2 linked regions of the Macaca fascicularis genome follow. The protein of the gene in region 1 purifies or fractionates together with the protein of each later gene. This does not show direct contact. Links are inferred from orthologs where the notes say so. Each region holds a gene or a part of one and is shown in the gene's direction. Other genes may lie near its edges.

What was found. Proteins that work in one complex are often made in the same cells at the same time.
Region 2: the proteins of EYA4 (region 1) and DCTPP1 purify together in Homo sapiens (affinity purification with mass spectrometry; 3 studies listed by BioGRID and IntAct, with this or other methods). This does not show direct contact. The link is inferred for Macaca fascicularis from reciprocal best matches to the Homo sapiens genes EYA4 and DCTPP1.

What each region holds. Positions count from the first base shown.
Region 1 is NC_088378.1:37,438,876-37,442,762, forward strand, and holds part of EYA4 (protein phosphatase EYA4), read left to right. Parts: intron 1-2,621; coding exon 2,622-2,805; intron 2,806-3,887. UniProt on the Homo sapiens protein: Tyrosine phosphatase that specifically dephosphorylates 'Tyr-142' of histone H2AX (H2AXY142ph). 'Tyr-142' phosphorylation of histone H2AX plays a central role in DNA repair and acts as a mark that distinguishes between apoptotic and repair responses to genotoxic stress.
Region 2 is NC_088394.1:28,564,900-28,569,030, reverse strand, and holds the end of DCTPP1 (dCTP pyrophosphatase 1), read left to right. Parts: intron 1-2,713; coding exon 2,714-3,014; 3' UTR 3,015-3,553; downstream 3,554-4,131. UniProt on the Homo sapiens protein: Hydrolyzes deoxynucleoside triphosphates (dNTPs) to the corresponding nucleoside monophosphates. Has a strong preference for dCTP and its analogs including 5-iodo-dCTP and 5-methyl-dCTP for which it may even have a higher efficiency.

The sequences.
Region 1 (3,887 bases):
GAGGTGGCGGGCGCCTGTAGTCCCAGCTACTCCGGAGGCTGAGGCAGGAGAATGGCGTGAACCCGGGAGGCGGAGCTTGCAGTGAGCTGAGATCCGGCCACTGCACTTCAGCCTGGGCGACAGAGCGAGACTCCGTCTCAAAAAAAAAAAAAAAAAAAAAAAAATGTGTATGTATATATATACATATATATACACACACACACACATATAACAGAAATATACACTAGGTAGAGTTGTACTATAAGAGAAAAACTACTCTGCCTCTATTTGGGAGGATTAAGAAAAGATTTTTAAAGGAAAAAAAACGTTTATTTAAAAACAGTTAATCATAAAACAGATCCGAAAATCTGTGAAGATTTAAATACAATGGATCACAATATAAAATGTAATCTGTATTTGGGACCATGGCCTGAGCACCAGTTTGTTGTTTTGGCTAATACCTATTGAGTGCCCATTAAGTGTTAGGAATTGGTCTGTATACTGGGGTACACGAAGGTGGGGCCAGAGTGGATCAGGTATGATTCCTGCCTCATGGAGCTTACAGCCTACTGGGACAAACAGACAATAAACCAGTAAACACACAAATACAGATTTAGGAAGAGAACAGGGTCTGTTAAAATATCAACTGAAGTATAATTTTGAATAGGGGAGGTTTTATATAAGGCTTCTCTATGGAAACCACATTTAGGCCAAGACTTCTAAGAGTTAGGTGAAGGAGGGCAGTGGTGTTTCAGGCAAAGAAAGCAGCGTGTACCAAATCCCCGACGGATGGAAGACTTGGTGTGTCACTGAACTAAAAAAAAAAAAAAAAAAAAAAAAGGCTGGAGTTTAGTTAGTGCATGAGGGGCAAGTGCGGAAACACATTTGCAGAGATAGGTGGGGGCCTACTCACGTAAGGCCTGGTGGTTTACAATAAGGAATTTGGATTCTATTCCAAGCCCAGTGGGAGGCTATGATGAGATTTTGAGCAAGAAAATTACATCATTTAATTTATGTTTTGAGAAGATAACTCTACCACCAAGGTCTTTGGAGAAAGTCAAAAATGGAAAGAGGAGATAAATTTAAAAATGAATACATTGCCTGCAACAGGAAGAAAAGGGAGCTTGGACAAGGGGGACGACAGTGGAAATGAAAAGAAAGGGAGATCTTTGAGATACGTTTGAATATGAAAAGACATTATATTCCCCAGTGGGGAATAGCCTGGACCTTTCCAGTATGTAACCTCATCTTCTTCTGCAGGAATTAGTAGGCTAACAGAGCGCTTCAGCACAGATGTTTGACTTAGGCACTCTGGGTTCAAATCTAGCTCTGAAACTTACTAGCTGTGTGACCTTGTACAAATCACTTAACCACTCTGTGCCTTAGTCCCCTTCAATGTAAAATGAATATAGTATTAAGACCACATAAGAGATTATGAGGATTAAATGAGTAAATATATTTGAGCCCTTAGAACAGTGTCTTGATACAGAGCAAGCACTATGTAAACCTCTGCTATCACTGTTTTACTTTGAGAGATACTGCTAGGAACTTTGTTTAGATATGATGAGGTTTTTGTTCTTGGCTCACAAGTGGTAGTGGGAAACATTGGATCTTGAAATTTTCAGACTAATAGAATTTTAGTTTTCTGCCATATTACCTAATCCTTTATGATAGTATACATATTTACTTATAATATAGATTATTTCTTTTAGTTTTTGGAAACCATATCAAATGTAGATCTTTGTTTCCTTTGGAACACATTTCATCGGGGGATCTTAATGTTATCGGTGATGACCAAGGATTTGTCATCACTGATAACATTTTGGGCTGACACATGCTAGATATATTAAACACCAGTTATCACAACAATTCCTTACTCATCATCCTACTATGTAAAAGGATTTTGAAGGGTCATTATCATCATTTTAAGGTTCTTAAAATTTTTTAATAAAAAGCAGGTCAAGGGTGTTGATTCAGTGCTTTCGTTTATCTCTGTAACAAAGGAGGGAAACTAAATAATTGAAAAGTTCACTAAAGACTTTAAGTCAAGGCCTCAGGTGTCATATAGTTTGTGAGAGGCTGGGTAAAAAAAAAAAAAAAAAAAAAAAAGTCGTATTCATCTCCTTTTATTTACTTTTTACCTCCTTCCAAGAAAACAGAATTGTCAGTGGTAGCCCAGAAAGGAACAAAAATCACAAAAATGCAGACTGAGGTCTTTGTGGAGTCTAGGAGGGGCAGCCCCAACTCCTTGCTGGTAGTGTTAGAAGATATGTAAGAACTGATTTTGTGAATATGAACTGATTCCATCTCCTTCTTTCCTCTTCAAACACGTAGGTCCTGATGATGTAAATCCTTGAATAAGTAATTATCAGGAGCAAAGTGAAGCATATGCTAACTTTAATCACATTAAAATTTGTATACTGGACCTGGTTTGCCAAAACAATAGGGTATTTCACTACTATATGCTTGTAAGAGATGCCCACCAAGTAGTCTCTGCTCATTAGGAGCACCTCAAAGCTGTGGACTCAGAAACAAACGGGGCTGAGTACTAATCTTTCAGTTACTGTAATGACTGGTTTTCTTTGGAGAGTATTAAAGAGTAATTTCTCTTTCAAACACACACATCTCAATTATTGTTTCAGGATTATCCATCCTATACAGCCTTTGGCCAAAACCAGTATGCACAGTATTATTCAGCATCAACGTATGGAGCGTATATGACATCAAATAACACAGCCGATGGCACACCCTCTTCAACCTCTACTTACCAGTTGCAGGAATCTCTCCCAGGACTGACTAACCAACCAGGTACAGATCTTCACCCAGGTGAAACACTTTTATATGTTTTGCAGTATCTAGTAAAATGGAGAAAGTGGACATTCCGAAAACATGGCTGAAAGCTCTCAGATAATTGTGCTGATGTTTAATCTGTGGTAGCATGACTGTATAAAATGAGGCTCTTCTGGCATTCCAGAAGATCCTTCTTTTAGATATGGGACAGATAGGCGATTTTAATCTCTAAATGATGGTGTACATATAAATATGGAGCTTTTACCAGACTCATTATTCATTTTGTGAAGAACTTGCAACAAAGTTGTAATATTATCTTCCTTGAGTATGACTGATATTATTTCCTTTATGCTAAAGAGACTGCATAAGCCCTTCACCTTTGTAAGTTGTTAGTAGCTCTAGCCAGTGAACATTTCCTACATTCCTGGGATTTGTAGAATCAGTGGTAGGTAGTTTAATGTCTTTGTGTGATCAGTGTGTATTTAAAATCCATTGTGTGTTTCATTATCTGAAACTTGCAGTATTCAAATTGCATTTGCTACACATAATTTGACACAGCTGAAGTATTTAAAGTTAAAAGCAAATTTAACAGAGACTCAGCATAATCCTAAGAAAAGTTCCAGGACTTTTTGGAGAAATTATTGAGATGGTTCTAAAATCACAAGGAAAGGTGGATGAATTAGAATAGTCAAAACTATTTTTAAAAATAAGAACAAAGTTTGAAGACTCAGATTACCTGATTTAAAGACTTATAATGTACAGTAATCAAGGGAATGTGAAAGGATAGACGCATAGAGCAATGAAACACAATGGAGAGTCCAGAAACAGAGGCGTATTTATGCTAGAAAGCAGATTTTTGAATCAGGATACAAAGGCCAGTCTTTTTAAACAAATGGTGCTGGAACAATTGGACATCTTTGTGCAAAAGAGGAAAGAATCTCAACTTGTATACAAAAATTACCTCAAAATGGATTGTAAGCCTACATCTAAAAAGCTAAAACTATAAAACTTCTAGAAGAAAAAAATGGTGAAAATCTTTGTGACTCTGGGCTACATAAAGATTTTATAGATATGACATTAAAAACACAATTCATACAAGAAAAGAACAGATAAAATTA
Region 2 (4,131 bases), on another chromosome or scaffold:
CTCACGCCTATAATCCCAGCATTTTGGGAGGCCAAGGCGGGCAGATCACTTGAGGTCAGGAGTTTAAGACCAGCCTGGCCAACATGGTGAAACCCTGTCTTTACTAAAAAATACAACCATTAGCTGGGCATGGTGGCATGCCCCTGTAGTCCCAGCTCCTCTGGAGGCTGAGGCAGGAGAATCGTTTGAACCCCGGAGGCAGAGGTTGCAGTAAGTCAAGATTGTACCACTGCATTCCAGCCAGGGCGACAGAGCAAAACTCCATCTCAAAAAACAAAACAAAAAAGACCAGCCTGGCCAACATGCCAAAACCCTGTCTCTACTAAAAATGCAAAAATTAGCCAGGTGTGGTTGCAGGCGCCTATAATCCCAGCTACTTGGGAGGCTGAGGCAGAGATGGCAGTGAGCCGAGATCACACCATTGCACTCCAGCTTGGGCGACAACAAGACTCTGTCTCAAAAAAAAAAAAAAAAAAAAACCGCCGGGCACTGTGGCTCATGCCTGTAATCCCAGCATTTCAGGAGGTCGAGGCAGGTGGATCATGAGGTCAGGAGATCAAGACCATCCTGGCTAACACGGTGAAACCCCATCTCTACTAAAAATACAAAAGAATTAGCCAGGCGTGGTGGCGGGCCCCTGTAGTCCCAGCTACTCAGAAGGCTGAGGCAGGAGACTGGCGTGAACCCAGGAGGCGGAACTGGCACAGTGAGCCGAGATCGCACCACTGCACTCCAGCCTGGGTGACAGAGCGAGACTGTCTTAAAAAAAACCACAAGGTGACGAGCCAGGAGGTGACATCTAGGCTGAGCCCTAAATAACAGGAAGAAGCTAGCCCGGGGAATGCTGGGGGATGGGGAAGCGTTCAAGGCAGAGGAAGTAGTGAGTGCAAAGGCCCTGTGACAGCTTGGCCTGTGTGCAAGCCAGAACAAGCCAGAGTGGCCTTAGGTGGGGAGTGAGAGTGGTGGGCAGGGGCATTGGAAAAGGCAGGCATCAGCCCATGCAGCACAGGAGGGCTTTGTCGGGAGTTTAGATTATATTCTAAGCACAGTTTGGATTTTAGCAGAGAAGGGGAAAAATGTAATTTGTGGGGTTTTTTGTTTGTTTGTTTTCAGATGGAGTTCTGCTCTTGTGGCCCAGTCTGGAGTGTGATGGCGTGAGGGCATGATATCAGGTCACTGCAACCTCCGCCTCCCAGGTTCAAGCAATTCTCCTGCCTCAGGCTCCCCAGTAGCTGAGATTACAGGCATGTGCCACCACGCCTGGCTACTTTGTATTTTCAGTAGAGATGGGGTTTCACCATGTTGGCCAGGCGATTCTCGAATTCCTGACCTCAGGTGATCTACCCACCTCAGCCTCCCAAAGTGCTGGGATTACAGGCATAAGCCACACCACCCAGCAGATTTTTGTTTTGTTTTGTTTTTGTTTTTGTTTTTTTGAGATGGAGTCTTGATCTGTCGCCCAGGCTGGAATGCAGTGGTGCGATCTCAGCTCACTGAAACCTCTGCTTGCCGGTTCAAGAATTTATCTGCCTCAGCCTCCTGAGTACCTGGGATTATAGGTGCCCACCACCACGCCCAACTAATTTTTTTGTTTATTTAATAGAGACGGGGTTTCACTGTCTTCGCCAGGCTGGTCTTGAACTCCTGACCTCGTAATCCACCCGCTTCAGCTTCCCAAAGTGCTGGGATTACAGGCGTCAGCCACTGCGCCCGGCCTGATTTGTGATTTTAAAAGATGGTCTGTGCTGGGTGCGGTGGCTCATGTCTGTAATCCCAACACTTTGAGAGGCCGAGGAAGGCAGATCACCTGAGGTCAGGAGTTCGAGACCAGCCTGGCCAATATGGCAAAACCCTGTCTCTCCTAGAAAAACAAAATTAGGCCGGGCGCGGTGGCTCAAGCCTGTAATCCCAGCACTTTGGGAGGCCGAGACGGGCGGATCACGAGGTCAGGAGTTCGAGACCATCCTGGCTAACACGGTGAAACCCCGTCTCTACTAAAAAATACAAAAAACTAGCCGGGTGAGGTGGCGGGCGCCTGTAGTCCCAGCTACTCGGGAGGCTGAGGCAGGAGAATGGCGTAAAAACCCGGGAGGCAGAGCTTGCAGTGAGCTGAGATCCGGCCACTGCACTCCAGCCTGGGCGACACAGCGAGACTCTGTCTCAAAAAAAAAAAAAAAAAAGAAAAGAAAAACAAAATTAGCTGGGCATGGCAGCACATGCCTGTAATCCCAGCCACTCGGAAGGCTGAGGCAGGAGAATCGCTTGAACCCAGGAGGTGGAGGTTGCAGTGAGATCGCGCCATTGCACTCCACTCCAGCCTGGGTGACAGAGTGAGACTCTGTCTCAAAAAAAAGAAAAGATGGTCTGGGCAGGAGTAAAAGATGAGTTAGCAGGGAGATGAGTGGGGAGGCTTCTGCAGTGGTCCAGGTCCAAGGTTTGGTCTGGGGTGGTGATGGCTAGGGCTGGGGAGAATTAGAATTGGGCCTCAAAGCTTTGTCTCAACAAATGAAATGTTCTTTTGGCCACTCGTTGGCCCAGGGAGAGACACAGACATCTTGGTATCATCTGTTGGGCTCTCTTCCCCACCTGACTCTTCCCAGGGCCCAGATGGGTTGGGTCATCATTGGAGGTGGGTGTTATTACTGCAAAGACTGGCAGAGCCCATTGTCCCAGGTTACATCTGAGTGTGTGTCTGTCTGTGTTCTGCCCCTAGTCAGTGGAAAACCGATGGGGAACCTGGCCCCCAAGGCTGGTCCCCCAGGGAACGGTTAGCCCTTCAAGAGGAGCTTAGTGACGTCCTCATCTACCTGGTGGCATTAGCAGCCCGCTGCCGTGTGGATCTGCCGCTAGCAGTGCTCTCCAAAATGGACATCAACCGGCGACGCTACCCAGCCCATCTGGCCCGCAGCTCTTCCCGCAAGTATACAGAATTGCCCCATGGTGCCGTCTCTGAAGACCAGGCTGTGAGGCCTGCGGACCTTCCCTGTGACTCCACGGGCCAGACCTCAACCTAGAAAGGTGGCCACAGGACTTGCAACTCAGGGTGGTGTCTGAAGAGCAGAGGGTGGCCCGGCCCTGGAGCCATTTTCTAGTCTTTTCCAAATAGATCGTGGGCCTGAGGTCTCCACTTCTTGAGGTCTGAGGCCCAGCAACCTCTAGAAGGTAGCCTCCTGGTATTTGCTCTCCCAGTAAAATGGTTTTGGGCAATAACTTCTAGATTCTTCCTGGATGGCCAGGGAGGCTCTCTGTCTCTGCCGGTGATGGCGAGGGGACCAGGGGTGCCTCTGAGCCCCATTCTCGTGTTTCCCTGTTTTTACCTTTTGCCTGTAGGGCAGAGAGATCTGGTTTTTAGCAAATTCCCAGTAGGATGTCATGTAAGTTCCTTCCCCCTCCTTTTAGAGATTGGAGGCTATAAGAGTCCAGATGTTGGAGCCAGGCTGTCTGGGTTCAGATGCCATCTTTGACACTTGCAAGCTGGATGACATTACTCAAATTAATCTTTATGCACTTCAGCTTCCTTGTCTATAAAATAAAAAGAATAGTACCTGCCCAATAGGGTTGTGAGGTTTCAATGAGTTACGTGAGTGCTCAGGGTGGGGCCTGGCACGTAGTAAAGGGTAAGTTTGCGGTTATTGTTATTACCTGTTTTCCTTTTTTTTTTTTTTAAAAGACAGAATCCCACTTTTGTTGGCCTGGCTGGAGTGCAGCGGTGTGATCTCGGCTCTCTGCAACCTCTGCCTCCTGAGTTCAAGTGAATCTCATGCCTTAGCCTCCCAGCAGCTGGGATTACAGGCGCCCACCATCACGCCCAGTTTTTTTTTGTTTTATTTTTTTGAGATGGAGTCTCACTCTTTCTCCCAGGCTGGAGTGCAGTGGTGCGATCTCAGCTCACTGCAAGCTCCGCCTCCTGGGTTCACACCATTCTCCTGCCTCAACCTCCCAAGTAGCTGGGACTACAGGTGCCCGCCACTACGCCCGGCTAATGTTTTGTATTTTTAGTAGAGATGGGGTTTCACCCTGTTGGCCAGGCTGGTCTTGAACTTCTGACCTTAGGTGATCTGCCCGCTTCGGCCTCCCAGAGTGCTGGGATTACAGGCCCGAGCCACCGCGCCCAGCCATTTGCCTTTTTTT